Ovis aries: one gene and its partners. The protein of the gene in region 1 interacts with the protein of each later gene in a biochemical or structural test. Links are inferred from orthologs where the notes say so. Each region holds a gene or a part of one and is shown in the gene's direction. Other genes may lie near its edges. The genes, in order: UBE2S, ANAPC2, ANAPC11, UBA1 and RNF7.

Evidence for each region.
Region 2: the proteins of UBE2S (region 1) and ANAPC2 form a complex in vitro, tested with the Homo sapiens proteins (3 studies listed by BioGRID and IntAct). The link is inferred for Ovis aries from reciprocal best matches to the Homo sapiens genes UBE2S and ANAPC2.
Region 3: the proteins of UBE2S (region 1) and ANAPC11 form a complex in vitro, tested with the Homo sapiens proteins (31 studies listed by BioGRID). The link is inferred for Ovis aries from reciprocal best matches to the Homo sapiens genes UBE2S and ANAPC11.
Region 4: of the proteins of UBE2S (region 1) and UBA1, one has a biochemical effect on the other in vitro, tested with the Homo sapiens proteins (8 studies listed by BioGRID, with this or other methods). The link is inferred for Ovis aries from reciprocal best matches to the Homo sapiens genes UBE2S and UBA1.
Region 5: the proteins of UBE2S (region 1) and RNF7 form a complex in vitro, tested with the Homo sapiens proteins (3 studies listed by BioGRID). The link is inferred for Ovis aries from reciprocal best matches to the Homo sapiens genes UBE2S and RNF7.

The regions. Positions count from the first base shown.
Region 1 is NC_056067.1:62,871,926-62,878,207, forward strand, and holds UBE2S (ubiquitin-conjugating enzyme E2 S), read left to right. Parts: upstream 1-2,430; 5' UTR 2,431-2,628; coding exon 2,629-2,631; intron 2,632-3,229; coding exon 3,230-3,377; intron 3,378-4,776; coding exon 4,777-4,967; intron 4,968-5,792; coding exon 5,793-6,122; 3' UTR 6,123-6,254; downstream 6,255-6,282. UniProt on the Homo sapiens protein: Accepts ubiquitin from the E1 complex and catalyzes its covalent attachment to other proteins. Catalyzes 'Lys-11'-linked polyubiquitination.
Region 2 is NC_056056.1:746,893-753,020, forward strand, and holds the start of ANAPC2 (anaphase-promoting complex subunit 2), read left to right. Parts: upstream 1-2,152; 5' UTR 2,153-2,180; coding exon 2,181-2,288; intron 2,289-2,535; coding exon 2,536-3,158; intron 3,159-4,295; coding exon 4,296-4,428; intron 4,429-5,235; coding exon 5,236-5,410; intron 5,411-5,754; coding exon 5,755-5,874; intron 5,875-6,095; coding exon 6,096-6,128. Other genes in the region: microtubule nucleation factor SSNA1, read right to left, coding at 910-1,017, 1,338-1,537, 1,924-1,975. UniProt on the Homo sapiens protein: Together with the RING-H2 protein ANAPC11, constitutes the catalytic component of the anaphase promoting complex/cyclosome (APC/C), a cell cycle-regulated E3 ubiquitin ligase that controls progression through mitosis and the G1 phase of the cell cycle.
Region 3 is NC_056064.1:50,495,606-50,501,717, reverse strand, and holds the start of ANAPC11 (anaphase-promoting complex subunit 11), read left to right. Parts: upstream 1-2,457; 5' UTR 2,458-2,570; exon of another isoform or gene 2,571-3,008; 5' UTR 3,009-3,074; coding exon 3,075-3,183; exon of another isoform or gene 3,184-4,580; intron 4,581-4,706; exon of another isoform or gene 4,707-6,112. Other genes in the region: ALYREF (THO complex subunit 4), read right to left, coding at 1,458-1,589, 2,070-2,306. UniProt on the Homo sapiens protein: Together with the cullin protein ANAPC2, constitutes the catalytic component of the anaphase promoting complex/cyclosome (APC/C), a cell cycle-regulated E3 ubiquitin ligase that controls progression through mitosis and the G1 phase of the cell cycle.
Region 4 is NC_056080.1:57,611,689-57,617,219, reverse strand, and holds part of UBA1 (ubiquitin-like modifier-activating enzyme 1), read left to right. Parts: intron 1-226; coding exon 227-333; intron 334-564; coding exon 565-655; intron 656-762; coding exon 763-895; intron 896-1,387; coding exon 1,388-1,485; intron 1,486-1,591; coding exon 1,592-1,738; intron 1,739-1,869; coding exon 1,870-2,046; intron 2,047-2,172; coding exon 2,173-2,277; intron 2,278-2,364; coding exon 2,365-2,445; intron 2,446-2,795; coding exon 2,796-2,951; intron 2,952-4,566; coding exon 4,567-4,732; intron 4,733-4,895; coding exon 4,896-5,092; intron 5,093-5,531. UniProt on the Homo sapiens protein: Catalyzes the first step in ubiquitin conjugation to mark cellular proteins for degradation through the ubiquitin-proteasome system.
Region 5 is NC_056054.1:247,816,640-247,822,883, reverse strand, and holds the start of RNF7 (RING-box protein 2), read left to right. Parts: upstream 1-2,601; 5' UTR 2,602-2,630; coding exon 2,631-2,805; intron 2,806-6,238; coding exon 6,239-6,244. UniProt on the Homo sapiens protein: Catalytic component of multiple cullin-5-RING E3 ubiquitin-protein ligase complexes (ECS complexes), which mediate the ubiquitination and subsequent proteasomal degradation of target proteins.

The DNA.
Region 1 (6,282 bases):
TTCAGGTGTCGGTAAAGGGCAGCCTCCCTGAGGACCGGCCCCAGCTACTACCTGTTTCTGTCAACAAAGGCTGACTGGGACACAGCAGCGCCCTTCATCTGCACATCCACTTGACTGCTCTGCCTAGGGCAGCAGAACGGAGTCGGTTGGGACAGAGATGGGTGGCCTGCAGAATCAAAAACCTTGACTGAGAAGGTTCGCTGAGCCCAATTTTGAGGCTGCGGGAGAGTCCTTCCTTCTCCCTCAGGACCTGTCCACGTCAGGGATCCCTAGCACGTCTCCCACCCGCCCTGCCATCAACGTGCTCACCGGCCTGTCTGCTCCCACCCATGCCCCATCAAAGCCTCCAACGGCTCTCCAGGACCTGAACGCTTCAACACACCACCCACTCAGCCTCACCGGCTTCCCGGTGGCGCCCCAAACAAACCACACGTGATCCCCTCGCCTCGCCTTTGTATGGGCTGTTCCTTTTTCTGAAGAGCTTTTGCCATATGGTGCTCAGGCAATTCTTCCTCCGACAAGTCAGTGAGAAGCCCTAGCCCTCTCTCCCTGCACCCCGGGCCCTGACTGATCCGATGTCTTTATCACTCGCCGACGTAATAGGATATACTTACTTGTTTACTGTCTGGCTTCCCCACGAGGTTGTCAGCACCCTGAGCACAGGGATTTTGTCCCTTTTACTCTCAGCTGTATCCCCAAAGCATCTTACCTGCCACAGGGCTGTTGCTGTTTAGTCACTAAGTCTTGCCCAACTCTCTGCAACCTCATGGACCGTAGACCGCCAGGCTCCTCTGCCCATGGGATTCTCCAGATAAGAATACTGGAGTGAATAGCCATGTCCTTCTCCAGGTGATCTTCCTAACCCAGGAATCGAAGGGGAGTCTCTTCCATTGACTTTACCACTGAGTCACCAAGGAAGGTGCTCAAAAACCCAAAGCATACTGAATAACTGCCAGTGTCCAGAGAGGAACCTCATAACATCCACCTGACCGGGTTGTTTCGAGGTTTCAATGAGATCAGACATGCAAATAAATTACAACAGTGCCTTGGCCAGCAAGCATGAATCAGTAACCATCACTCTAATGAGCACCATCAGTCCTTGTCAGTCGGGTGGACTCCGGAGCTACAGCTCAGTCTGACCCCCAACTCCACCTCGTCTCGAGTGGGGGCCCCTGGGCAAGTCACTAGAACCCCTCTTCCATCAGAGTCCTTGCGTGTTAACTAGGCCGGACTTAAGGTGAGGAGTGGGGGGTGCCCGAGTGCAGTCAACCCGCCACACACTGGTTTTGGCTAGGGCGGTGGCCGTCTCTGCATGTTTCTGCCCCAGTTCTAGAAGCTAGGGTCCCACTTGGGGTCTTGTCGGGACCCTCTCTAGAGGGTCTGAGAGACCTTGGCGGGGGCGCTGGGCCACACAGTAGCTGTGGCGGTGGTTCAACTCCCGGGGGTCCTGCTGTAAGGGCGCCGACACGTGGCCGCCGGGCCGGGTCCCCAGACAGGGAAAAGGAGTCCTGACGAGGCCTGGTTGGCGGAAGAACGGGGTCAGTCACAGGTAAGGCCCGGCCCTCAGCAAGGCCTGAAGGCTCTTCCTTTATTAGACACCGTCCTCACAGGAGGCTGAGGCCCGGCCGGGGCCAGAGGTCACACATTGGAGGTCAAGGCTTCTAAGCCTTCAGCGCCGGGCTGACTGGCCTTGGGACCTCCGCTATGCAGCACGCAGGTCACACGTCATTCCCACCACAAAATGGCGCCTCGAAGAGAAACGTACCGCGACGGCCAGCGCCCACCCCCACGACGGGCTGAGGAAGGGGCTCGAATGTCCGCGAACTTATTTGCATACACAAAACCAACGAACTTCATTGGCTGTGAGAGTCTGGGTCCGCGCTAGGCAGAGCCCCCATTGGTCATTCTCCTTTTCTCTGCCCCTCTGGTACCGCCTTCTACGTCAAGGATTGGCCCGCTCGTGTCTCGTGACGCCACTCCACGACTGCGCGTCCCTATTGGTCGGAATGCCTTCTATCATCCTTTTAAACCCCGCGAGTCCCACCTCTTTTCGCCCCGCCCAGGCTCCACGGCCGACCGTTAGTCGCGTGCGCGATTTCTGGGCGTCAGGGCGCGCGCGTACGCAGGCGTCTCATTCAAACGGCCCAATCAGCGTTCGCGTCGCCCTTTACGTCCTCTTCCTTTCTGCTTCCCCCTTCTCCACCTCTCCATTCTCCCGGATCCCCTCCCGGACCCATACGCGCCCCGAGTGGCCAGCCCGCCGCGCGCCCCCTCTCCAACTTCTGCCAGCAGTTTGCAGGAAGGGAGCGAGCCCGTCGAACGCCGAAGACCGTGCGCGCTGACGTCACGGGTCGAGGCGCCGCGAGAGGGGCCCGTGAGGGGGGCGTGGCCTGTGGGCGGATATAAAAGGGTGGCCGTGCGCGCGCGGCCGGCTTCCTGCGGCCGGTCACTCGGGCGGGTGAAGCTGCTTTGCGGTTCGCGGCGGACGTCGGAGGCTGAGAGGAGCAGAGCGGGGCCGCTGGGGCCTCGTTAGGGCCGCAGCGACAGCAGTTGGGCCCCCCGCCCCGGCAGGCGGCCGGAGAGCGCGGGAAGGGGGCCGGGGGGACCCGCCCCCGGCCGGCTGCAGTCATGGTGAGTGCGGCGCCCAGGCCCGGGAAGGGTAGGCGAGGTACCCCCCCGTAGAGGAAGAGGCGTGGTCTCAGGACCCTCTCGCGGGCGGTTTGAGGGGTTGGAGAGCCCACCTGGAGGTCCGAGGCCTGAGTTGGGCCCAGGGGCCTTCATGTAGGCGGGGCGGAGGGGAAGGCCCGGCCGAGTCCCGGGGAGGGCTCCGGCCTTTGGGGCAGGCCTGTGGGTGCTCCGGGAACAACACCACTCTGCGGCCGTCTCCAGGACCGATCTGGGGTTTCCAGGATGGTCTTAACAAGATTAGATGGGGGAAAGGGACCCAGGTAGGCATCGGGCTTACCCAGAATCATTGGGGAGCCTGTGCGGAGCTACGAACGGGCTTCGGGGGCTTCTGGGGAAGGTGGAGTCGTCCGCAGGAGCTCGGAGATGCTTCCCATTTCTAGTGGATTAGCCTGGGGCTGTCGCTTGAGTCTTCCTGGGTTGGGAGTTTCGGGAGCTCGGGGTGATTGATTGACCAGCCCGGGACTCCACCGACTCCTAGATCCTGCAAGAGGCTCCAGGCCCTGGCTCTGCCCGTGGCTCACCTGTTTGTCTCCATACCTAGAACTCCAACGTGGAGAACCTGCCCCCCCACATCATCCGCCTGGTGTACAAGGAGGTGACGACGCTGACCGCTGACCCACCTGATGGCATCAAGGTCTTTCCCAACGAGGAGGACCTTACCGACCTGCAGGTCACCATTGAGGGCCCTGGTGAGTGTCGGATCGACAGGGAGGAGTGCGCTTCCTAGGTCCTAGTCACCCTAGAGCCAGGATAGGAAGCTCCCACTCTTAAGTGGATTGCCAGACCCTGGGGACGCAAGGGTGGGCAGGACAAGCACACACACCTGTTACGTGTGTTCCTGGTGTGCAGGGCTGGACACTAGGAGTGACAAATAATTGTGTACTCTCCATTAAATGTTGGTGAGAAAAACTGGGGACAAAGAGAGCATGTAATGGGTCCTTAGCTTGGCTCTGCGTGTTTCCTCCATCCTGAAGTTGGGTAGGAGTTCTGTGGGATTGGGAGAAGGATGCCAGGTGGGGAGAAGTGTCAGCAAAGGCCTGGAGGGCGGGGTGGACCATCTCAGATTCCTTCCTGTCGGCAGTGTCGGGGGCTCTGGGAACCAGGCAGAGAATAAGCCAGACGCAGGCTTGGGGGAGATAATAACCACGCCACTAGGGTGTTTGATCTTGTAGGTTGGTGTAACGTGTCACTTCACGTGCACTACGTTTAGATTATTGAATTTTTACGACTTAAATGAAGAGCATGTAACGAAAAGACCTAGTTTGGAATCAGGTTTGTGGGCAGTGGGTCCGGGAAGGCTTTCTGAGATGGTGAGAAGGTGATTCACCCCCATGCTGATGCGGGCTCGGTGGGAGGTGAGGATCCCAAAAAGCTTTTGGCAGTCTTGGGGTGTATTAGATATTTTATAAGAACAGAAGAAAAACGATTGGTGAAGCTTACAGGAAGCAGATCTTTTAGGGTCTGTAGGTCTCTTCAGGAGTTTAGAAAGGAAGCCCTTGGTGGGTTTAAAGCAGGACTTCACTGTGACTTCGGTGGGGGTTTGGGTGGGGTTGCAGGCTGGAGGCTGGCATCCATCAGGTGAGTGAAGTGGTTCTGCTGGACTTGGAGGGGGCCTCACATTTATGGGGGGAACTGGATGGGTTGGACATGGGGGCTGGAGCACCAAGAACAGCCCTGGAAACGGCTCCCACGGGTTTTTGACCTGATCAGGAGAGTGATCGAGAGGGCTGTGGCTGCAGCAGGGAGACCTTGGAGTGGACAGAACTGTCCTGAGTCTTGCCTGAGAGACTTGCAAACATGTTTTTCCGGGGGACAGAGGGGCCATATATGTCTGTGCCACTTGGGAATGGTGTGCTGTGGCTTCAGCAGGGACTGAGGAGCCTCCGTGGGTGGGGACCACCAGTCTGGTTAGCTCTGAGCTGGGGTTGGGGGGGAGTGCCTGCAGGCACCTGGGAACCTAGCCCTGTCCTCTCCAGTCTGGGGAAGTAAACGAGGGGGCATTTGCCTCACCGACAGACTGGGGAGGCTGGGTGTTGGGGGTGCCTGGAAGACCTGAGCCTCCTGATGCATCCCCTCCTTGCATTCCAGAGGGGACCCCTTACGCCGGAGGCCTCTTCCGCATGAAACTCCTGCTGGGGAAGGACTTCCCTGCCTCCCCGCCCAAGGGCTACTTCCTGACAAAGATCTTCCACCCGAATGTGGGCGCCAATGGCGAGATATGTGTCAACGTGCTCAAGAGGGACTGGACCGCTGAGCTGGGCATCCGGCACGTGCTTCTGGTGAGTTCTGCTGCACCCGGCCTGCCTCCTGGCCGGCCCAGTCACGTCCAAGCCACAGAGCCTTGTTCCTCTTTAAAACAATCAACGCTGAAGTGGTGGGGGCCTCCACATGAGAGTCCAGGTTTCCAGCTTTTCTAGAAGGGTAGGCAGCGCCCAGGGAACTCTGCCACGGGGCGGGTGAGGGGCTTGTGTGGGGATAGTTTTCTGCAGGCGCAGGCCGAGTGTCTGGTTGGAGAGCCTTTCCGACACCGAACGGCGAGTGCAGCCGTCAGCGCTGTGATTCCGCTGTTTCTCACCCAGGGGTGGCTCTGTGCCCCCGGGACGTCTTTAATTGTCGCTGCTGGGGTGCTCCACCCTCAGTGGGAGGACGCTAAAGAGCTGCTGCCCCTTGGAGAGCCATGCCCACCTGCCCCCCAGGTGGGGCCCCAGGGTCCCTGTGGGCCCCTTAGAGCATGGAGGTCACCTGGTGCCTCTCCCCACCTGCCTCACAAGGTAAAAGTTTTTTAAAAATCTGACTTTCTAATGAGCCCCTAGGGCAAACAGTAGGGAGGACGGAGAGTTGGGGTTTGCAGCAGGGCATGGGGAGGGTCGAGCACCAGAGTAAACTGACCCCAGACCTGTTCCTCCTCTCCCTGGAGCATTGGTAGCGGCTGCCAGAGAGATTGCGGGTGAGCTCACCGAGCACCCGTGTGCCCACTGGGTGGTGAGTGTGGCCTGCCGGGCCGGTACCTGGGCTCCCCTGTCCCGCCGGGGCACTGATGGCGGGGCAGTGTGGGGTTTGAGAGGTTTGGGGGCGGGCCCCTGACCCTGGCCCTCTCCCCACAGACCATCAAGTGCCTGCTGATCCACCCCAACCCCGAGTCGGCCCTCAATGAGGAGGCGGGCCGCCTGCTGCTGGAAAACTACGAGGAGTATGCAGCCCGCGCGCGCCTGCTCACCGAGATCCACGGCGGCGCCTGCGGGCCCAGCGGCGGGAGGCCCGAGCCCGGCCGGGCAACGGCCAGCGGGGCAGCGGCCTCCACTGCTGACCCCACAGCTCCAGGGGGCCCAGCAGGGGCTGAGGGGCCCATGGCCAAGAAGCACGCGGGTGAGCGTGACAAGAAGCTGGCAGCCAAGAAAAAGACGGACAAGAAGCGGGCACTGCGGCGCCTGTAGTGGGCTCTCTCCCCTCCCTTCCCACCTGACCCGACTCTGTCTCTAAGTTATTTAAATTATGGCTGGGGTGGGGGAGGGCATGAGGGCACTGGGACCTGGATTTGTTTTTCTAAATAAAGTTGGAAAAGCAGCTCTGCGCCTCCACCGCCTGGGCTGTGAG
Region 2 (6,128 bases), on another chromosome or scaffold:
AGCAGTTGTGAGGACCCCAGGGGGGCTGACAGGCCAAGGAGATGGGCCCAGAGGACTCAGGAGGGATGGCTGGGCCCCAGGCTGCACAGACACCACTCGTGACCAGAGAGTGGGAAGCATGGGTGCTGTGCTGCCCCGCAGCGTTCGGAGTCACTGGGCTGGAGTGCAGCTCTTCCCGGCGTTCTAAGGCCCAAGAAGGTCCCCTAGACCCGACCTTCTGCTAGAGGCCAGGAGCAGCGGCACCTTCAGTGCAGTGTGGGCTGTGCACTAGGCTCAGAGGAAGCGGGTGTGGCAGAGGCCACAGGAGGCGTTCAGGGGCACCCTTACCTCTATCCCAACAAGGCTGGACACAGGGAAAGTCACTGCAGGCCCTCTTCTCTCCTTCACAAGGAACCATGTGACAGCCGGGCCAGAGTTTTGTGTTCTGACTTGGGCAGGGGGGTGCGGTTTGCATCTGGCAGCCCCACACTACACAGGTAGCAGGGTGGCATGGGTCTTTACAAAGACAAACTTTATTGACAGTCACAGGCCTCCAGGGCAAGCTCTGAGGTGAAGAAGGGCCCCAGCTCCTCCTCCACTTGCCTGGGCACCTACCGGCTGAGGGAGGAAGTCTGGGGACTCCCGCCCTGCGAAGTTTAGAAGCAGGCCTTCCCTGCAGCCCAGGTGGTGTGGGGGCCCTGCAGAGCTATGCTCCCCAGAGCCTGCGTGAGTGCAGGACTAGGACCCCTCACTGGGCAGGCTACACCCAGGGCCATCCCGTCACCCAGAGCCACTGAAGCTTGGCAGTTGCCTCTCTCGGCACCAAAGACAACAAACCGAGAAAGCTGCTTCCCTGAAGAACAAAGGTGCTTTAAAGACAGGCTTGCGGGGGGCGCTGAGCCGCAGGCAGGACCCCCACCCGCGGCCTCATCAACTCTCTTTGCCTCCACTGCTCTTCTGCTCTGAGGCTGTAGCCTTCGTCAGGTTCCCCGCTTCTCGCTTCAGGACACTAAGCAGAGTCTGCGAGCTCTCCAGGATCTGCGGACAGAGACGCCAGCCAGTTAACACTCTTCCCCCCCCCCCCCCCCCCCCCACCCCCCGCCCCGTCGGAAAGTTGCCACAGCCCGGCGCCCCATCCTGCGCTGGGCCCGGCTCCCCTCTGAGTATAGCCCAAAGCCCACTGCTCACACCCCGGGAATCCAGGCCCCGGTTGGCTCCCGCTCCCGCTGCTGCTCAGTCTGGAGCCAGCGACACGGCGACAAGACGCCAACAGTAGGACCCAGGCCTCGCTGTCACTCCACGGGGGCCGACGACCTGTCTAGGCGCCCCGGGGCCAGCACCCGGACCCCGAGCCCCACCTTGAGGTAGGCGGCTTCTGTCTCCGCGATGGTCCGATCGAACTCGTTCCGAGAGGCGATCTTGCGCGCCAGGTTCTCGTTGACTCGGGCCAGCTTCTCCGTCAGCTGCCTCACCTCGTTCTGCAGCCTCTGCTTTTCCTCCTCCTCCTGCTGTATCTGCCGGCACAGCTCCTCCCGCTTCTGGCACAGCTCCTCGATGCCTGGGGCGAGCGGGGAGCGGGCGCGGTGGGCGCCGGGGGCCGCGGTGGGCACGGGAGCGCCGGCCCCAGCGCGCGAGGCGAGCGGCCAGCGAAGGCCCGGGCGTCCAGACCAGGCCGGCGGCCGGCGTCCCAGAGCGTCTGCCGTCTCAGGAGGCCCCGCGCGAGCCCCCGTGCTGTCTGTGGGGCTGAGCGCGCCCAGGCCCCCGCACCCTGCTCGCGCCATAGACGCCGGCTCTCGGGGCGGCCACTCCGCGGCTCCGCCCGGCGTCCGGGCCGCTCCGGCCGGAACAGCCGCGCGCGGCGGGCCAGCGCCGGCCCGGGCCCGCAGGCCGGCGACCCCGCCGCCCTCCCAGCCTGCCCGCCGGCCTCGCCGCGCGGCCACTCACACTTGACCAGCTCGTTGTTGTAATTCTGCAGCGCCGCGCCCTGCTGGGTCATGGTCGCCGCCGGGCCCCGCCGCCCCAACCGCCGCTGCAGCCCCCCTCAGCGCCTGCGCACGATCTCCGCTCGCCCCGCCCCCGGTCGCGTCACCGCCCCTGCGCCTCTCGCCGCGCACCGTGTGCGTCATCGTCGCGCGCGCGCGCCCAATTTGGCGTCATCGCGGCGCGCCTCGCCGAGCGGCTCTGAGAGCTGGTGGGCGCAGATGGCGGCGGCGACGGAGGCGGGCCGTGACGCGGGGCCTGCGCAGGAGCTGCTGGCGGCCTGGAACACCGTGAGCACCGGGCTGGTGCCTCCGGCCGCGCTGGGACTGGTGAGGCCCGAGATGAGGGCGACGGGCCGGCGCGGGGTGCCCGGGGCCCCGAGCCCGCCGGCGCCCGTCCTGGCTTCCCTGCGTGTTCCGCAGCCCTTCCCTCGCGTGGGCCTGCGTCCCTGCGAGGAAGGGCGGCGGGGTTCCCGTGGCCTTCCATCCGCGCTGTCCCTTTCCCACTTTTTCTCACCTGTCTCCACCCTCTCCGCCTCCGCGGTGCGTCCCCTTCTCATGGTTTTCTGTACTGCAGGCGTCCTCTCGAACCAGCGGTGCCGTCCCTCCAAAAGAGGAGGAGCTCCGGGCGGCGGTGGAGGTGCTCAGGGGCCACGGTCTGCACTCGGTCCTGGAGGAGTGGTTCGTAGAGGTGCTGCAGACCGACCTGCAGGCCAACATCTCCCTCGAGTTCTGGAATGCCATCTCTCAGCGCGAGAACTGTGCGGACGAGCCCCAGTGCCTTCTGTTGCTCCTCGATGCTTTCGGTCTGCTGGAGAGCCGCCTGGATCCCTACCTGCGTAGTCTAGAGCTCCTGGAGAAATGGACTCGCCTGGGCTTGCTGTTGGGCACCGGTGCTCAGGGGCTTCGGGAGAAGGTCCACACCACGTTGCGGGGCGTCCTGTTCTTTTCCACTCCCAGAGCTTTTCAGGAGATGATCCAGCGCCTCTACGGGCGCTTCTTGAGAGTTTACATGCAGAGTAAGAGAAAAGGGGAAGGAGGCACAGACCCGGAACTGGAGGGGGAATTGGACAGCAGGTATGCCCGCCGCCGGTACTACCGCCTTCTGCAGAGCCCGCTGTGCGCGGGGTGCGGCAGTGACAAACAGCAGTGCTGGTGCCGCCAAGCGTTGGAGCAGTTCCACCAGCTCAGCCAGGTCCTGTGAGTACTTGGCCTGCGTGTCCTGTGTCCCTGTCCCTCCTGGCTCCTGCTTGTCACTCTGGGTCCCGCCGGCCCCTGCAGAGAGCTGGTGAGCTAGCTGGGGGTGGTCTCTGCCGCTCGCCCTGGTTCCCAAGGGTTCTCAGGATGTGTGTTTTCTATGAGTTTATGCCTCTTGTCCTTGCCTAGGTGTGTCTGTTATTCACCCTGGCTCAGGTGAATTCACCTTTGTACTCTGCTTACGCTAAGACTGCTTGATTCTACGTGTCCCGGGCTGTGCAGAATTCTGCTGTGCCTGTTGTAGGCTCTCGGAAGTGGAATGACATTTGTCTTGGAATTGAGAAAAATACGCTTGCTGTTTCTTCTCTGTAGAGCAAGTCAGAGATTAGACCAGCATGCTGGGCAAACTGATGGCCTTTCTAGCCTTGTGAGGGGGGAAGGATTCTGTTGTCAGACCCAGGCCCTGTCGTGCGGGTCCCCGGCTCTCTGGGTGCTTGCTTGTGTAAAGTCCCTGTTCGCTGTCGCTGCGTCGGGTCTGGACTGCGGCGCATGGGGCCTTCGCTGGCCTGCACGGGCTTCTCTCTCACTGTGGCGTGTGCACTTAGCTGCCCCGCGACACGTGGGATCTTAGTTCCCTGACCAGGAATTGAACCTGTGTCCTCTGCTTTGGGAGGATTACTAACCCCTGGACCGCTCGGGACGTCCCGTGGCCCCTTGTGATGATTTTGTCAGTGTGAATGGAGTGGCAGCTGCGCAGCCGTCAGAGTCTTCTCACTGGGCTGACGGTGTGGCGTGCTCCCCAGAAGCTTGGTTCTCTTGGGCTTTTCTGCCATCATGGGTCGGGATCAGCACTGAGAAGCAGAGACTGCTACGTCTGTGTTCACGTGGCCGGAGTAGTGACTTCTCTAGCTATTGTTTGAGGGCCATTGTTAGGAGGTGGACGAGGCCTTGGCCCCAGTAGCCAGAGGTGCTGACCCCTTGGGGAGAGTGGGAGGTGCCTTACCGGTGCTGCCATCTCAGCCGCTTTGTCTTGAGTTCCTCGGGGCGGTTTTGCCCCAGCGGGAGGGCTGCAGGAGGCTGTGCTGAGGGTGCGCGGCGGGTGCGTGCGCTGCGTGCGACGTGGGCGGGGCTCTCCTCCAGGCACAAGCTCAGTCTGCTGGAGCGGGTCAGCGCGGAGGCTGTGACCAGCACCCTGCACCAGGTGACCCGGGAGCGGATGGAGGACCGTTGTCGGGGCGAGTACGAACGCTCCTTCCTGCGTGAGTTCCACAAGGTGAGGCCCCTCCCGCGGATGAGAAGAGGCTGCTGGCAAAAGTGACTAGGTGCCTTGGCTTTAGAAGTGGGCAGAGTGTGGTGACCTGGGTGAATCAGGACGCTGCTGGTGACTGAAGCTGTCTTGGTGCTGGGTGGAGGCTGGTCATCCTGGGCCCACCCTGGCGCCAGCGAGGAAGAGCCTGACATGCTTCCTGAGATCTGTGCAGGGCCACATGGCCAGAGGCAGCCCCAAGGTCTGGGCTGTCCCAGCGCGGGGCCTTGGGGCGTCCGTGCTGTTGGGGCGTGGCCTGGGGGCTGCCCTGGGCTGCACAGCGTTGTGGGAGAGCCGGGCCCAACCGTGGGGCTCTGAGCCTGCCTCACTTCCCACCCTCCCCACTCCGCTGCATCCTGCTGCCTGCCTCCTGAGGACGCTTGTGCGCTGCAATGCTGAGGGCGGGGGTGGTGTTCAGTGCAAGGGTCCCCGAAGTGGGCTGTAGCACGCCAGGAGGCCCGGGGATAGCTGTGCTGTCCCCAGGCAGCAGACCGTCCGGGCCGTCTTGCCGGTGGCTGGGTGGGCGGTCCCCAGGGTGTGTCCGTCCACTCAGACGCAGCGCCCTGTGAGAGCTGCTGTGGTCAGAGATGAGCCTGGTGCTGGTGTGCATGGGGTAGGCCCTGGGAGGCCCCTTCAGGCCCCCATCTGCTGATTTCACTGTGCCCTTGGTCTGGGACAGGTCCCTGGGGTTCCCAAGGGCCAGCCCTCGGCAGGTAGCTGCACCTCTGCCCTGGGCTTGGGCCCTGGAGCCCCACAGCTGTGCTCTCCTGACAGTGGATCGAGAGAGTGGTTGGCTGGCTGGGCAAGGTGTTCCTGCAGGACGGCCCCAGCAGGCCCGCGTCCCCGGAGCCGGGCGCCACGCTGCGGCGCTGGCGGTGCCACGTGCAGAGGTTCTTTTACCGCATCTATGCCGGTCTGCGCATCGAGGAGCTCTTCAGCATCATCCGAGGTCAGCCTGCTCGCTGGGGGCCCCTGCCCTCGCCCCTGCCTGCAGCCCAGGACCCCCGCGTCTGGAGCACAGCCGGGCCCCACCCCGCATCCGCATTGGGCAGGAGAGGTGCTGAATCTGCCCCCAGCTCTGCCCTAGCCCTTGGGCTCTGCTCTGCCCATCTGCCCCTCCAGGGGGCTGTGCTCAAGGGTGCGGGCCCCTGAGCGCACAGGGGCCACAGCAGACCCCGGGCAGGGTCTCTCCCTGCAGCCTGTGGAGGTGTGGCCACCCACCCTCCAGGCCTCCCTCCAGCTGTCTGTGGGCACACCACGTGTGCACGTGCCAGGATCAGCCTCTCCCCACAGACTTCCCGGACTCGAGGCCCGCTGTGGAAGACCTCAAGTACTGCCTGGAGAGGACAGACCAGAGGCCGCAGCTGCTCGTGTCCCTCAAGGCTGCCCTGGAGACGAGGCTGCTCCACCCAGGTAGAGCCTGGGAGGGGTCAGGAAGCTTTTCTGCCGCCCTTGGGGGGCGGGGTTCTGCCCGCCCTGTGAGGAGAGCGCCACTCTTCAGTACGGGTTGAGGGGGCAGTGCCTCAGATCACGGGGGTCTCGGGGTGCCGTCGCAGTGGGGCCTGCAGGCCGCCTGGCTGGGGCGTCTGTCTCCGTGTCACCGTGTTGCTCGGGGTCTCCTGTCCCCACCGCAGGCGTGAACACCTGTGACATCATCACCCTGTACA
Region 3 (6,112 bases), on another chromosome or scaffold:
TTCTTCTGGTGGCCCAGGGACACTCCCTGGAAGTGTAAACTGCTTTGGGGTATTTCCCTGGGAGGAAGACATACACGTGGTGGGGCAGGGAAGTGGCGGTGGGACCTGGGGTATGGGATGGGACAGGTGGGACAGCAATTTCCCGGAGCAGCTGGGCCCGAGGGCTCCTGCCCACTTGGGAACCTGACATCTATACCACGATGCAGGTGAAGGATCACAAAGCCCACCAATGAAGGGCAAAGATTTAGTTGCTATCTTCTTCAACAAAGGAATATTTACAACACACCCAAGGACTGTGCCAAGAAGCAGCCAAGGCCAAGATCACAGAGCAAGGGGCTCTATCCACTTGTGGACCAGCTCCAAGGGCCCTCTGACTGGGAGCCCTGACCCAGCCCCTCCCCCAGGGCAGATTCTGGCTCACCTTTCCCTCTCCTCCTACTCAAGCCTGCCGCAAAGCCTGAAGTCAAGCGCTGCCATGGAAACTGCCCTGACCTCAGGCAGGCTGGGAGTTGGAGAGGGAACCCAGAGTGTGGGGCTACTCCGGCCGCAGGCACACAGCGGGAAGTGGAGTTCACCAAAAGCGGTTTCCAGTGGATGCCAGAAACCACCTTAAAAAAAGTGTTGAGACACTGTGAGTGCTCACTGGCCTTGCTCTGTCCTCCCAAGGCAAAGTAAATGGCTGGGCTCTGGGAAATTGAACCCAGGAAGGCCCAGTACCCTGCCCAGCCATCTCCTGGACTGACCCCCAAGATGTCATTACTTAACCATTTTAGGCAGCAAATTTAAAGGCCTTTAGGGTTCAACCGAAAAAAAAAAAGAAAGAAAGAAAAGGAAAAAAAGAAAAAGGGGAGGAAAGAGAGGCAAAAAAAAAGAGGCTTCAACCAAAGATGTTTGAGAATCATGTCACTAACAAAACCCAGGGGGTGAGGGTAAGTGAGAAGACAGGGGATGAAATTCCAAGTAAGACATGGGGCTTAAGGCAAATGGAGCCAGAGCGGCGCTGGCACCATCCTGCTCTGTGCTATGTCAGTTCTACAAAGGAAGTGCTTTCTCCTCCCAACAAACCATTAAAACAAGCAAAACGTAAAGAAAACAAGTAGCCTAGCTCTTCCAGGAACAGAATCGGAGCACAGTCAACCAAGCTTCTGCCAGAAGAGCTTGGGCAGAGTGCCTTCATCTACAAAACACGTTTTAGCAAGGAAGAACAGCAGCGCCCCAGACTAAGCTGGGGCCTTGTCTTCCAGCACAAACTGACACATTGGTCAGGCTTTCAACTCTAGCTCAACCTCTGCTCTGCATTCCTGGAGCCCATCACAGGGAACAGTGGCTGGCCTTTCGGTGCCTGGGAGAGCTTGTCGTCCCAAGGTGTGCGTGTGGGGGATTCTGGGCCAAGTCCCAAACGCCACAACCGATTCCGTGCGGAGTGACCCGCCCACCAAGAAACTCCAGTCCCTTACCTGAATATCAGCGTCGGACACTCCAAAATCCAGATTTGACACCAGCAGTTTCCCACCGGTCTCCACGCCGGCACCACCCCCAAAACCGCTATCGAAAAGGTCATGCTGCCATTTGTCAGGAAGTTGTTTCGGCTGAGGGAAAAGAAAACACAAGAACAGAAAAAGGTCTGTGAGTCTCACTCCAGGGCTCGCCCTCGCCCTCACGGCCACAGCAAGAGCCTCCCCCCATCTCGGCGGGGAGGCAGGCGCTGAGAGAGACCCGCAGCCTCCGCTTCACGCCCGCGTCAGGCCGTACCCGGCCGCCGCGGCCACACGTCCCGCAACTTCTCGGTTCCCTTCAACCAACTTCCCGCCACCGGGGCGGCCGCGCCAACGGCCCCTCAGCCCCCAGCGCCGTGAGGCCGGGCGCCCTGTTAAGACAAAGGCCGCCAGGGTCTCCGCCTTGGTGCCCGGCAGGCGAGCGACCTTCCCGCCCGCCGAACCGGCCGGCGCCCGCGCCCCCCGGCCCAGTCGGTCAGTCGGTCGGCCGCCCGGACGGCCCGCCGGTCGCCCGTGCGCCGCCCTGCCGGTTCGCTCCCTCGCCGCGGCCCGCCACCCGGTCTCCACACTCACCCTGCTGTAGGGCGCCGGCCGGTTCCTGCCGCCGCCGCCCGCCGCGCCGCGGGCGATGGCCGGCCGATTCCGAATGGGTCCGCCGCCTCGGTTCACTCGCGCGGCGGCCTGGGCTCCGCCGCCGCGGCCACCCTGGGAGCCGGCCCGGCCGCGGCCCCTGCCCCCGCCGCGGCCGCCTCGCTGGCTCCGGTTCAGCTTAATGATGTCGTCCAGAGACATATCCATTTTGTCGGCCATGGCGGGCGCGGAATCGGCCTCGGCTCGAGCCCGCGCGTCAGCACGTCGGCGCGTCACTTCCAGCGCCGCTCGCGGGTTTTCCGGTGCCGCGTCCTCAGAGCGACCGCGGATTGGCTGCGGGCCTTCGGCGTCTCAGGGGGCGAGGTCGCGCGTGCGCGCTGAACCAAGGAGCTCGGCGGGCGCCTCTGAGAAGTGCCGAGCCGCGGCCACAGGCGTTTATATACCTTCCCGCGCGGGGCCGGCACTGCCAACTGAAGGCGGGTGGTGCGGCGCGCGATTAGATCGGCGGGGGCGCGGCCGTTGGGGGCGTGGCCGAGCGTGGCGCCTCTCCCTCGCCCCTCCCCCACCGCACCGGGAACCCGCACCCTAGTCCAGCGGCGGGAGTGAGTGCGGCCCGCGCCAGGGTTGTTTCCGGGGTGACCTCGTAGGGAGCGGGCTTGGGTCTCCATCTCTCAGCCCCGTCAGCCCTTTCGGAAGTAGCGCACGGCGCGTTTCTGCGGTTGTTAAAGAAAGCCGACGAGCCCTTCTGCGGACGCCGAGGCAGAAGTGCGGTGTTGGCGAAGGACCAACACCGGTCCTCCCGGTCTTCCCGAGGACCCGGCCCCCGCCCCAGTCCCCTTGCAGACAGCCTCTTACTGCCTTTCGGCGGCCACTGTTGCCTACGCTCGACCCTCGGGGCGACGCCCCTTCTTTGGCTTCCAGGTGCCGTAGCTCTGCAGACTCAGCACAGCCGGGTGGTCTCTTCCCTCCTCGCAGGCTCCTCGCGCCATGAAGGTGAAGATCAAATGCTGGAACGGCGTGGCCACTTGGCTCTGGGTAGCCAACGACGAGAACTGCGGCATCTGCCGGATGGCCTTCAATGGCTGCTGCCCGGACTGTGAGTGTCCCCTGCCCGCTGTCTCTCGAGCTGTGCCTATCATCTGGCCTTGGCGTGTCCCCAGAAGTACTCGCAGAGCGTTTCTGGGGTTTGGTTTCCTCTTCCCAAGAAAAGTTGACAGAGAAAAGCCAGGCTATTTGGGCCCATATTTGTACAAAGATCCCGTCAAAAGTTTTGTAAGGAAAAGAGCACAGTTTCCTATCCTGATAAAAGTCACTATGAGACCCGTGGAACACAAAAATGTGTTAAGACATTGTATTTGAAAATTTCAAGTCAACAAAAAATTGTGACGTTACAAGGTTTCCCCCTCAATCCAGCACATAAATGATGAATAACACGTTTTCATATCTGGCTGTTTTTGCCCAGCTGTTTTAAGGTAAATGCTAAATATCTGCTGCATTGTCAGGCGGGTTCCTTATCACTGAGCCACCAGGGAAGCCGCAGCAAATGCTAAATGTGATGTCCTATATCAGTGCTGACTTTTACCAGCACTGTTGTCACTTTAGACAATATACTGCCTTACTGTTGCCGGTCATTCCTAGTCCTTGTTCAGGTTTCTTTAGTTGTCCTCAAATGTCTTTTTATTGTTGGGTGGTGTGAGCCAAGACCCAAGGTGTGATCACTTTTTCCCTTCACTACTTAATCTAGAATAGTTTTGCTTCAACTTCTCTATCGCGTTTTAGACATCAAATTATTTGTTTTTATTTTTCTTTATTTATTTTTGGCTGCTTAGGGACCTTCATTGCATTGAGCAGGCTTCTCTCCAGTTGTGTTGCATGGGCTCAGTTGTCTTGTATCATGTGGGATTTTAGTTCCTAGACCAGGGATCAAACCCACATCCCCTGCATTGGAGGGCAGATTCTTAACCACTGGACCACCAGGGAATTCCCCGTAGACATCTGATTTCTTTCAGAACATGTTGTCTTGCAAAATGCCTGACCTCAGGTTTTATCAGATTTCATCTTTGCGGTGTCTTTTGCATTGTTCCTTTGTCCCCAGTGTGTTCTGTGAAGCGAAAGTATTTGGGTCAAAAGGAGATTTTTGCACCAGTGAATTTAGTTTTTAGTCAGACACAAGTGAACCAGAAGCAGTAGGAAGGGTCTTAAGGCTTTGCCTAGGGGACGAAGGTGTTCCCGAGAGAGAAGTGAGATTTGGGGACCACTGAGAAGTCAATGACCAGGCCTGTCCTGTGGGGCTGTGAACATCAAAATAGTACTAGATCTTTGCTTCTTACAGTGAAATTCAAATAATTGATTTTAGTGCAAATATAATTTTATCCTAGTCTTAAATCTTTACATCTGGAAGAGGAAATCTCATCACCCATGGGCTAATCCATCCTGATTTAATCAGGCTGCGATATAATCTTAGGAAATCAGTGATTGGTTCTACTTGATGAGGTTTTTTTGTTGTTGTTTTTTATTTTTTTTTTTATTTATTTTTTTATTTTTTTATTTTTTAAATTTTAAAATCTTTAATTCTTACATGCATTCCCAAACATGAACCCCCCTCCCATACTTGATGAGGTTTTATGTAAAGGGAGAGAGAATAGAAGCACAAGGTCTGGCTTGGTTTAATCCGTTTAAAACCGCCCTTTTTTTTTTTGGTTCAGTTGGGTCTTGTTACTACATGCAGGCTTTTTCTAGTTGAGGCAGCACTACCCTGGTTGCCGTGGCTTCTCTTGTTGCGGAGCACAGGCTCGAGGCGCACAGGCTTCAGTAGTTGCATTGCTCGGGTTTAGTTGCTCCACAGCGTTTGAAATCTTCCAGGCCCAGGGGTTGAACCCGTATCTCCTGCATTGGCAGGTGGATTCCTATCCACTGTACCACCAGGGAAATCCTAAAACCACCCTTTCTCAAAGGTACAACACAGGTTATGGGTAGGTACTTTCAACTTTCTCAGCAGCAGATGTGGCTTCTGAAAAGAAAAGTCCTAGGGTAGCATTTATGTGGTCATGCCCTTGACCCAGTGTGGGTGAGTGAGCCAAGTGTCAAAGATGGCACCAGGGGTTGCATGCAGCTTGTGGAACCCAGTGTGTGGGGCTGCCTGAGGTGTGCTGGGTGCTGGGAAGAGGGGGTTGAGGCTGAACTTTGGACTTGCTGGTTGTGAGCCAGCGGTAATGATCAAAGTGTTTGGTCAGCCCAGGGCCCCTTCTATACAGATCAAGTGATGTTGGACTTCCCTGCTGAGATGGAATTCCTACGAAAAATCCAGAGTGACTCAGACTGTGATAAACCTGCTCCTTGTCTCAGGGCTTTGTGAGTGAAAGTCTTATGGAGAGGATCCCGACGCTTAGCATGAGTCACTGTCAGCATGGAAGGTGGTGTCAGATTCCCCACTAATGGACGTGATGGCTAGGGTACCCCTGCCAGCAGGCTAGTTGGCCCCTGCGCATCCTCTTGCATCCTCTGTTTGCAAGGGCTCTAATGTGTTAGGCGTGATTCCAAGTGTCGTTCTGCTGAGGTGGGAAAGACCCTGGGTGGGGGTGGGGTGGGGGTGGGAACCAAGAGAAATCAGGTGTCACACCCTGTGGGCTCCTGGCACAGGGCCGTCCACCTCACCCCCCCACCCTGGCCTGGGAAGCAGAGTGAGCTAGATAGTTTTGTATTTGCCAAGTAAATTGTTTTTTGGTTTTGTCATAAAAGATTCAGAAAAGGAGTGATGTTTTGTTTTAGAGAGGATTACTTTTAAAAGATTGGGGGTTTGGTGGGGAGAAAAGATCCATGTATATGTATAACTGAGTCCCTTCACTGTTCACCTGAAATTATCACAGTGTTGTTAATCGGCTATACCCCAATACAAAATAAAAAGTTAAAAAAAAAAAAGATTGAGAAACACTGCCCCAAACAAGAGAGTAAGAAGATGGCAGTGCCCATCTGTCTGACTCCATAGGGTGAATGTACCACTGTGGGGCAAGGGCTGCTCCCAAACT
Region 4 (5,531 bases), on another chromosome or scaffold:
GTCTCTTTACCTTGCCTGCCATAGTCTAGGGATTCACATTTCCTTTCATTGAGTTTTGCTTGGGCTGAATCTGATACGTGGTAGATACTTTCTATTTGTGATAGAGAGCTGAACCAGCAAAGCCTTAAAGACCCCGTGAGCCCTCCTACCAGCCTTCCTCCATGATCGCTCCCTTTACCCTTCACCCTGGTGCTGGGCCCTCGCCTGAGCTTCCATCTCTCCACAGGTGGTGGTCCTCACTAACAGCCCCCTGGAGGACCAGCTGCGGGTGGGTGAGTTCTGTCACAGCCGTGGCATCAAGCTGGTGGTGGCAGACACCCGGGGCCTGTTTGGGTGAGTGTCCCTGCTCTTTTCCACCCCAAGCTCTGACTGCCCTCAGCCCCCCTTAGGCCTTTGGGTTTTGGATGCTGTGTGTTTACCTTGCCCCACGTAGCGTGAGCACAGTCTGATTCCCAGCAGTGATGGGTTGAATTTGCTCAGCAAATACTCGCTGCATCTTGAGGGACACGTGCAGTCTCAGTGCGCGTGGGACTCGGGCATCAGCCCTGTTGCCTCCCTCTACAGGCAGCTCTTCTGTGATTTTGGAGAGGAAATGATCCTCACTGATTCCAATGGGGAGCAGCCGCTCAGTGCTATGGTTTCTATGGTCACCAAGGTGAGGAGGCCAGCCTTGGGTCCTGGCAGGCGGATGGGCGGTCACAGGCCTTCCTGTCTGCTCCCAGTACCCTGAACCTGCCTCTGAGGTACTCCTCCTTCAACCAGGACAACCCCGGTGTGGTTACCTGTCTGGATGAGGCCCGACATGGCTTTGAGACTGGCGACTTCGTCTCCTTTTCGGAAGTACAGGGCATGATTGAACTCAATGGAAGTCAGCCCATGGAAATCAAAGTCCTGGGTGAGCTAGGGCCAGGGGGGAACCAGGGGAGATAGGAGGCGTTTCCCTGGGCTCTGTGTGAGGGGAGACATATCCTGGGTATCTGGGATGAACCAGAGGTAGAGTCTCCTAAGGTCTGCCCAGCAGGGTGTGGGGGAGAAATGCTGTCTTGTGTTTGAGCTGTTCGTAGAATAGGCCCCTGATAGCTGCACTGAGGGGAGGCAAGGTCTCTGGTGTTTGAACAAAGATCAGAGGATCCACTTGTGTCTGAGCTAATTCAGACAGGGAGCAGAGAACGTCTTCCGTTGTAGACTTGGGGTCAGAGACGTGGGGTCCCGTGGGCGCTGGGTCTGGGGTAGAGGGGAGATGGTTTCTGAAATTCGAGTAGAACTCAGGATGGAGAGGAGATTACTCCTGATGTCTGAGCTGGGTCAGGAATGGATTTTCCCTCATCTTGTAGGTGGTTGTAGGTTTTAGGGAGAGTGGGTGTCCTGACTGTTTTGTCTACCCTAGGTCCTTACACCTTTAGCATCTGTGACACCTCCAGCTTCTCTGACTATATCCGCGGAGGCATCGTCAGCCAGGTCAAAGTACCCAAGAAGATCAGCTTTGTGAGTGTGAGGGGCAGTGGGCTGTAGGAGCTGGGGCTGGGCATCTCACGGTTCTCAATTCTCTTCTGATTCTTTTTTTTTTTTTCTGATGCCCTGCTTCCCACAGAAATCCTTGCCAGCCTCCCTAGCAGAGCCTGACTTTGTGATGACAGACTTTGCCAAGTATTCCCGCCCTGCCCAGCTACACATTGGCTTCCAGGCCCTGCACCATTTCTGTGCTCAGCATGGTCGGTCCCCTCGGCCCCACAATGAGGTGGGTGTGGGTGAGCCAAGCCAGGGTAGATGACCTTGGCACTGCAGGCCCATTCTGCCCCTCTCCCTACACCTCTCGCCCCTAACGCAGTGACCTAACAGGCATGCTCTTGGTTCCTTTGGCCCCACTAGGAGGATGCAGCAGAGTTGGTGACCATAGCCCAGGCTGTGAACACTCGATCCCTGCCTGCAGTGCAGCAGGGCAGCCTGGATGAGGACCTCATCCGGAAGCTAGCATATGTGGCTGCTGGGGACCTGGCTCCCATAAATGCCTTCATTGGGGGCCTTGCTGCCCAGGAGGTCATGAAGGTCAGCATAGGTGGAAAAGGCCAGGGTTGGCATAGGCCAGGCGCCTCCCTGCCTCTATCACTTGTCCCATCTGCATGAGGCCCCAGGTAAGCACTGACTACTTCCCCTCTCCTGCTTATTCTCCAGGCTTGCTCTGGGAAGTTTATGCCCATCATGCAGTGGCTGTACTTTGATGCCCTCGAGTGTCTCCCTGAGGACAAAGAGGCCCTCACGGAGGACAAGTGCCTCCCGGTATGTGAGTAGAGCCCTGGGGTAGGTGACATAGGGGGCATTTCTGGTGAGGCTGCTCTCTGACCTTTCTCCCTTTGCATTCCTCAGCGCCAGAACCGTTATGATGGGCAGGTGGCTGTATTTGGCTCCGACCTGCAGGAGAGGTTGGGCAAGCAGAAGTACTTCCTGGTGAGTGATCCGCTGGAACACGTGCTTCCTTCGTATCCCCTGCCCTCTGGCTACCTGTTACGGTGTCTCTTGCCACCTGAGGGAGTGTCTTTTGGTTCTTGTATCTGTATCACATGACTTTTGCCTTTTTTTCTTAATCTTGGGAAAGCTTAGTATGTCCTGTTTCCCCCATCTGTGCCTCCACCCTCAGATGACTAGGTTATTTTCATAGCCGTGGCACTTAAGGATGTGGCACTAGACACCCCTCTCTTGCTGTCTTCTGGGGAGTGAGAGTACAGAGTGATGAATGACTTCACGCTGACTGCATCACCCTGACCCAGACACTCTGTCTCTTCTTGGTTGTTTTCTAGGTGGGCGCAGGGGCCATTGGCTGTGAACTGCTCAAGAACTTTGCCATGATTGGGCTGGGCTGTGCAGAAGATGGAGAAATTGTTGTCACAGACATGGACACCATTGAGAAGTCAAATTTGAACAGACAGTTTCTGTTCCGGCCCTGGGATGTCACTGTGAGTGTGATGAGGGGTGGAGGCGGTACTTTGTCATCTTGTTTTCATCTTGTCTTTTGTTCCCATTCTTCCTAAAAAGGGGGCTTTACTGCTTTTTTCTTTCCTTCAGCTCTCCCTCAATTTCTGTCACTCGTTCAATGAATGCTGAGTACCCTTCCATTGAATCCACCGTTTTTCATGTCCTGTTTTCTTTTTCCTTGACCTCTTATGAATGCTGGTTGGGACAGTGTGTTGGGGGTCCCAAGTGTAGTGATTCACTAGGGGGACTCACAGGACTCAGCATATAGTCATACTCAGGGCTATGATTTATTCCAGTGAAAGAATGCATAACAAAATCAGCAAAGAGAAGTTGGGGTGAAGTCTGCGGGAGACCATGCACAAGTTTCCAAGACTCTCTCCCAGTGGAGTTGCACAGGACACCTGTAATTCCCCTAGTAGCAAGTTGCAACAACACATGTGAAATGTTGCCAGTCAGGGAAGCTTGTAAGAAACCTAGTACCCAAGGATTTTACTGTAGGCTGGTCATGTAGGCTCCCTCTTCTGGGAACATCCCCAAATTGCAGACTCCAAAAGGAGAGCAGGAGTTTGGCCTAAACCGTAGGGTTTTCATAAGCAGCCTAGGCACAGTGAGCAGCCTTTACCAGGTGGGGAATGGTAAGAACTCTTGAAATCCAGGTTTCCAGACTGCAGCCAAGGCCCAACCTGGCCAGGAGGCCTCTTTCCTAGGAGAGCACTTGTGCTAGGTTCACTGTTCTCTGCACAGATAGAAGCTAGGTTATACAGGGATCTAGCTAGTAGGCCTTCTGTGGGGAACAGCATCATTGCCTGTCCAGGATCGACTTCCCTTTTGTTCATTCATTTATTCACCAAGTAGTTATTCACGTAGGTGCTCTTGTAGGTACTTGGAGTACACCAAGGAAACAAAGATTTGGTGGAGTGGAGACAGAGTAAAGAATAAACACAGTACAGTAATAAAATTTATACTCAGCGTTCTTGGTAAGTGCTGTGCAGAGGAAAGAGCAACAGCACGATGAGGGAAGTGGGCAGGCCAGGGAGATCAGTTTGCAATTTTGATATGTGGAAGGGCTCATCTCTGCCAACTTGGAGGGCGTGAGGAAGTAGAGTTCCTCAACCACTCAGGCAAAGATCCTGAGGTGGGAGGGGAGTAGGAGATAAGCTGGAGGAAATGGGGACCAAGTCATCTTACCTTCGGTGGAGGTGGGAGCAAGGGAGGGTTTTCAGCAGAGGAAGGATATGGCCTGATTCGAACTTCTTGTCTGTATGCTAAGATTGTTTTGTTTGAGGGGAATGTTCCCTAGCCTAGGTGCCATTACCTGAAAGAACAGTGGATGTTGGGTAGGCAGAAGGACAGAAGGCTGGCCTGTCTACTGCTTCCCTTTCCACTGAACCCCTGGCATATCAGTCCCTGCCCTAGCCCTGTGGTATTGTCATGAACTGTCTCCTGCCAAACCAGAGAGCTTCCTGAACTCAGGGCCTAGTTCTTCGCAGCATTAAATATGTCAGCCTTCAGGAGGACAGCTCTGTAGAGGTTCTCTGGTTGCACACATGAATAACTTGAGTTTTGTTCCCCCATTCCCACTCTCACTCCCCCTAGAAATTAAAGTCTGACACAGCTGCTGCAGCTGTGCGCCAGATGAATCCTCATATCCGAGTGACAAGCCACCAGAACCGTGTAGGTCCTGACACTGAGCGCATCTATGATGATGATTTCTTCCAAAACCTGGATGGTGTAACCAATGCCCTGGATAATGTGGATGCCCGTGAGTTTGGAGGCGGGTGAGGAGGTCAGGGGCCAAGTTACATGTATGCGTGCACACGTGTGTATGTGTGTGTGTGTGTGTGTGTATGTTTTGGAGGTGTCTGTCTTCCTGCCTCCTAATGTTCCATCTTGCCACTCACATTATGTTGTGACCCCACCCCCAGGCATGTACATGGACCGCCGCTGCGTGTACTACCGTAAGCCACTGCTGGAGTCGGGCACACTGGGCACCAAGGGCAACGTGCAGGTGGTGATCCCCTTCCTAACAGAATCTTACAGCTCCAGCCAGGACCCGCCTGAAAAGTCCATCCCCATCTGCACACTGAAGAACTTCCCCAATGCCATCGAGCACACCCTGCAGGTGATCAGCATTGGTGGGAGAGAGCAGGGAGCAGGCACTCTGGCCTCATGGCTGCCAGCCCCTCTGCTTTTTCTCTAAACCTATCTCTCTTCCCATCTTGTAGCCTAGATTGCTAGAATGATCCACTTCTTTCTTTTTTGGGATAATTTTCAACATTTAGGGCTTCCCTGATAGATCAGTTGGTAAAGAATTCACCTGCAATGCAGGAGATCCTGGTTCGATTCCTGGGTCAAGAAGATCCGCTGGAAAAGGGATAGGCTACCCACTCCAGTATTCTTGGGCTTCCCTTGTGGCTCAGCTGGTAAAGAATCTGCCTGCAATGCGGGAGACCTGGGTTCTATCCCTGGGTTGGGAAGATCCCCTGGAGAAGGGAAAGGCTACCCACTCCAGTTTTCTGGCCTGGAAAATTGCATGGAATGTGTAAATTGCAGCCTATATT
Region 5 (6,244 bases), on another chromosome or scaffold:
AGTTTCTGGAAAGACTGATTCCCCCGTGTCGTTTCTTTCTTGCTCCCCGTTTTCCTGGCTGAATTCCCATCTGAAATGTGGGTACTCACCAAGTCTGCTAATTCTGCCTGGGCTTCTGAGATCGGACCGGGGAGGCCTGAGTGCCTCCTCTCCTCTGGGAGAATGGAAAGACGCCTGTGGCCTACGTAGGTGGTGATTGGTAGTTCATGTAAACCAGTTATTCAGCCTCTTTTCTCCACTAATTCTCCTACTACACTGTTTCTAATCTCCCTCTATATCTGTAATTAAGTTTTTTCCAGGACGCCGATTCCATCCCCACCTTCGAATTACCCTGGATCCACCGGGGCTGGACCCCGGCAAGAGTTGGACTGTGAAGAAGGCTGAGCGCTGAAGAATTGATGCTTTTGAACTGTGGTGTTGGAGAAGACTCTTGAGAGTCCCTTGGACTGCAAGGAGATCCAACCAGTCCATCCTAAAGGAGATCAGCCCTGGGTGTTCTTTGGAAGGACTGATGCTAAAGCTGAAACTCCAGTACTTTGGCCACCTCATGCAAAGAGTTGACTCATTGGAAAAGACTTTGATGCTGGGAGGGATTGGGGGCAGGAGGAGAAGGGGACGACAGAGGATGAGATGGCTGGATGGAATCACTGACTCAATGGATGTGAATCTGAGTGAACTCCAGGAGTTGGTGATGGACAGGGAGGCCTGGCGTGCTGTGATTCATGGGGTCTCAAAGAGCCGGACACGACTGAGCGACTGAACTGAACTGATAGTCAGATATGTGATAGCTTAATGTGAATGAAACATGTTCTGGATGGTTCATCTGGGTTTGTTTACAGACATTTTTGTCTGGCTCATGAAGTTACTGTGGTGAGATTTATATCTGCTACCACCACTACTGCTCTGTCCATTTGCTTTCTCCATTTACTTCCTGGCCTCCAAGGCCTCCCATCTCCCGCCGAGTTCAAACTTAACCTCTTCTATGAGGCTTTCCCTCACTCCCTCACTCCATCTGTCTTGAGGAAGGTTTCTGTCTCTGACAGCACTTAATGCACCACCCAACAAACAGCACATGTGGCCAAATGTGACCCTGTGTCCATATTTGTATCGTTACACATTTAATGCCTCCTTGACTCCTCTGCCAGAGTTCTGAAGTTTGGTTAGCCTAGACCCAGGGGCACCAGGCCTGACACCAGGAGATGAGGGAATGATGAGACCCTCATCATTAAAATAAAAAGAGGTGCGAAGCTCTGAGTCCTAATCCTGACACAGCAGGTGGCCACCACTAGGTGGTAGTGTGACCAAGCATCTTCCGGTCTCCATGCCTCAGCTTCGGTATCTTTTAAAAGAAGATGTTATCTGCTTTGCTTGGGAAAACATAACATGACCCTGGGCTAGTAACAGAAGAACCTTAGTTTCCACTGTCACCTTCTCAGAATAGCAGAATTACTTTTCTGAATTACTATAAATTACTTTTATAAATATAGCAGAATTACTATAAATTACTTTTGGGGACTTCAGTATTCCTACACATAAAAAGTTAAACTAGATTTAAGTTTCTTAGAGTGTGGTCTCCAGGGTTCCTGGAAGTCTTTCAGGGGACCAACAAGGTCAAAACTATTTACATATTTACATAACAGTATTCATAGCTCTGAGCTTCCCAGGTAGCTCAGCTGGTAAACAATCCGCCTGTAATGCAGGAGACCCCGGTTGAATTCCTGGGTTGGGAAGATCCCCTGGGGAAGGGAATGGCTACCCACTCCAGTATTCTTGCCTGGAAAATCCTATGGACAGAGAAGCCTGGCGGGCTACATACAGTCCATGGGATCTGCACAGTCGGACACGACTGAGCGACGAAGCACAGCACAGCACTCATAGCTATTTCTCTTCATTCTCTCTTGTGAGTGTACAATATTGGTATTCTAAGGATAACTTGTAATGGATTTCTTACTGTTTTGAAGTGAATTAATATATTCACATTTCCCCCGTTTTCTTAAAAAGGAAATACATATGTATAAGCGTGTATATGTACACATCCATCCTATACAAACAAAAGTTCTTAAATGTCCTTAAGTAATTTTTAAGTGTAAAGGGGTCCCAAGACCAAAATATTTGAGAACTGTTGAACCAGATTCCTAGCTCGTCATTCATTCACTCAACATATAACTGTCCCTCCCGAGACAGCATTTCTTAACGAAGGAGATGATCAAGAAATAGTCCCCCCACCCAAAAAGAAAAAAGAAATAGTCCCCGCTCCCCCCAGGGCGTTTACATTTGAGAAGGACGAATATATCAACAAGACAACGTCTAAAAGCGGTGTCATGAAGACATAAAGCAGGACACGTGTCTCCCCCGCGCAGGGTCGGTCCGGGGTCCCTCACCCCGCTGAGCTGGCCGGGCGTTGGGGACGCGAGTACCGGGAACTAGGACACCGGGAAGCCGCTGGTGCCGGCGTACGGTGACGTCACTGGGCCGCGCCAGCCAATCACGGGCGCCCCACGGTCCTAGACCCCCGCGGCGGCCCGTGGCCTGCGGGCGGCGCTGTGGCCCGTCGGACGGCCCCACTGAGCCGCCATAGCCGCCCGCCTCCCACGACCCAACGTCTCCGTCGCCGGCTCCGCGCCGCCGCTATGGCCGACGTGGAAGACGGTGAGGAACCCTGTGCCCTGTCCTCTCACTCGGGGAGCGCAGGATCCAAGTCGGGCGGTGACAAAATGTTCTCTCTCAAGAAGTGGAACGCGGTGGCCATGTGGAGCTGGGACGTGGAGTGCGATACGTGCGCCATCTGCAGGGTCCAGGTGATGGGTAAGCGCAGCAGGCGAGGCCCCGGCTGTGCTGCGGCCTCCGCAGGCCCGGCTTCGGGCGTGGGGGGAAGGACCAAGCCTTGGAGAGACCGTTCCGGGAGGAGTAGGGGCGGGATCGCCCTGCCCCGGCCCCAGGAGACCGCGGGCCACGCCCGAGCTGGTCGTTCAGCAGGCGACTTGTGCCGGGGACGGGTATTCTGGGGGAATAGGGGGGTAGCAGGCAGGACAGTTAAACAAGGTCATTTCCAGTAGTGATCGGTGTGATCACGACAATAAAAGTAGGTGATTTGACGGGAGCTGGGAGGAACCACTTCGGTTTGTGTGGCCAGCGACCGCACCCTTTTCCGAAAGCAAACCACACAGAGGTCAAGGTCAAGGCCCTGAGTCAGCGGGTCAGTCGGATGGTTCTGGTCACACACCAAAGTGATGCTCTGGAGTCATTTTCCCCCCAAACGGCCGCTAGTCGTGCTCTGGAGAGGCGCAGGGAAGAAGAGTGTTCCTAGCCGTCCCCTTTCTAGATTGGCTACTGTTCTGCTGGCTTTTAAACCTGGATGATTCAAGATTGGTCAGATCGCACTCGGTTGGCTTGAACTAGAAGAATGTAAACCCTTTTATTCAGAGACATGAAGCTTCATCTCTTTACTGGCCACTCCCCATCCTAGCATGCAATTTCTTGGAGAAGGGTAGTGCCCTCAAGTCTGGCCTTTCTGGAAAGCCCTCTTTTGCAAACTTGTTACTTCTTTCTATGATATTTTTAATGAAAATATTGGACCACGTGAAGCCTTTCAGAGCAGCTTCATCTCGTTGTGTTTTATATGGTCTCTGTTTTAAGATCTTAGACGACCTTAAAAAAGAGTTGCTGTTTAAATGCACGTTATATTTTTAAATAGGGCATTTAAAACTACAGCATTTAAGAGTGTCTTAAATGTCATTTCTTGAAGGTAATTGGAGAAAACTGAGGCTTCTGTAGTTTGAAAACTTTGTGTCTTGCACTGAAAAATGAGACAGTTGGAGAAAGTAACTTAAAAGATGCTTTCCCTTCTTGAGCATTGAAAATTTAGACCTACCAGAAACAAGAGATTTCTCAATTTACTCTCTCTGTAGTATGCACTTATGTTTTTTATTCGTAGGAATTTGTTTTAAAGAGAATTTGCAACTATGGGATTCAAATATTTTTTTACTTTTTAAAAGAACTAGATTTCAGATGTGATCGACTTATTTTGTGTATCGGGTTTTTAGGTACTTAGTTTATGGGCCTGCAATACAGCCCCCTTGCCCTAACCCTTTCTTGAAAGCTAGAATCATAACTTCCAGTTTGTGGGATTTTTTTTCTTTTTTAGTTTAAAATAATTTTCCTAAAAGAGCATCTTATTTTTCTCCCCAAAGAAAAATTTTAAATTAGTAGGTAGAAATGCAAAATATAAAATAATGGTTGAAAGTTTGCAAGAAATAAACTTTACTGGGATATTTAAGGTAAGTCAAAGTATGGGCTATAAATGACTCACTTCTCACATTAACTTTCTAATTATAACAAGTATTTGCTACTGTGGATTAATGTTTCATATTTACAACAGCTGTACTTTGGGTTCAGAAAAGTATTCTGGGCTAGACCTCTGTATTGTGTTTATGAGGTGTTAAAATCTATTTGGTGGTCAGGTGACAGCAGAAGGAAGTGTGTTTTCTGGCATCATTCTAAAAGGTGTTACTGTACTCCTTAGAAATGCGCTGTTTTAGATATTAAGAACATCATCAAAGGAAAATGTTTTCTTTTATATGAAACTTTAGGAATTTTTATCTGTTCAGATCAGTTGTTGATAGTGAATCTAAATAAAAGCCGTAGGCATGATTCAGAGACTTCTAGATTCTATAAAAAGCCCACTTAATCCTGTGTCCTTGATATTTGAATTCATCTCATACACCTAAATGATTTGTTATAACTTCTTGATCTAAGAATTGCCAGTCAGCCCATTCTAATGTGGTTAAGACACTCTTCCTTGGTTTCCACTCTGCCGACTTTATTGGGAAAGGAGCTGCTAGCAAGCACCGGTGAGGAAGAGGGGACGAGGTTTGCTTGTATTGTCAAGGGATAAAGAGCCAGAGTAACCTTCCACAGCTATCTGTTAACTTGGACGTTTGACATAACCTTCTGGAGCCTTGTTTTCCTAACTTGTAAAAGAGACAGTTGGGATCCTGAACTTTCTGTGACTGCACAGAACCAGAGGCATGTCTTCCCCCTTATATCATGATCCTTGCGATATTTAACTGTTTACCTATCCACTTTCCCATTTACTGGTGAGACCAGGGACCCAGACTTGGTCATTTTGGTGGCCCCCAGGCATTACTCTTTGCACAGGGTAGGTACTCAGTAACTGTGAAATTGAAGAAAGCCTCAGGAGGCAGTGGTGGTTTTTAATCCACACTGAAGAGGCCAGGGTAGTGTGTTTTTTTTAAGGGTAAGAGCATGCAGAGAGGAGCAAACAAATGCCTGAGCATAATCCAGTGTAAGAAAAGAAGTAGGCTTCAACTCTATCCTGTTTCTATTTTTATAGAATTTTTCTCTAATTTATATTAAAATCTTTTTTTTTTTTCTGTTAGTTTGAACTTCCTTTCACCCAACTTTGACTGCTTTCAGCTAGTGAATGAGTCCATTTCTTTGGTTCCTAAAATATTCTATATTACGTTCTTCAAGCAAATGGTAGTACAGACTGAATTTTGAAAAGTTCTAGTATATCCTTTTGGTTCCCATTCCTCATGTTTACTCCCAGGTAATTTATTAAAATACTTTACCGTTGTTGGGTAAATGCTTTGGGCTCAGATTATTTGTAAAGGGAGCATTTCCTTAAAAAGAAAAAATAAGAGAGAGAACCTAATATTTAGGGTTTTTTAAATTTAATTTTTATGTAGGTTATACAGTCACAACTTAAAAACTTGAGAAAGTGTGCAGTGAAAACCCCTTCCCATTCCATCTCCTCCCAGGTGAACTTTATTATTAGTTTCTTGACTATCCTTCTAGAGTTTCTAAATATATGTAAGCAAATACCAATATATATTTGTGGCTTATTTTAAAGGATGTCTTGAAAATAAACTGTTCATAAAATTGATCTGTGTGCATGTGCCCAGGGAGTAATATAGTGAAATATAGCATATTTTTCTCTAGTAGTTACATCCACTGTCAGGACATGTTTTAATCAGCACTTGTGAAAATAGAGGGTCAGTAACTCTTGTGAAATTGCTCCTGGTCATAAGTAAATTAGTAGAGTGCCTTGTACTTTATTCATCTTTAAGCAGTTATGTTCAGATGAGAAATTAATAGTATGAGCCTTCTAATCTACATCTCTAACCCTTTGGGCCTTTTATTTGACTTTGAAGTGTATGGGGTTTTAAAAATTGCATTCTGAGCATCAGAATGAGAATTGCTATTTGTTTACTTTTAGATGCCT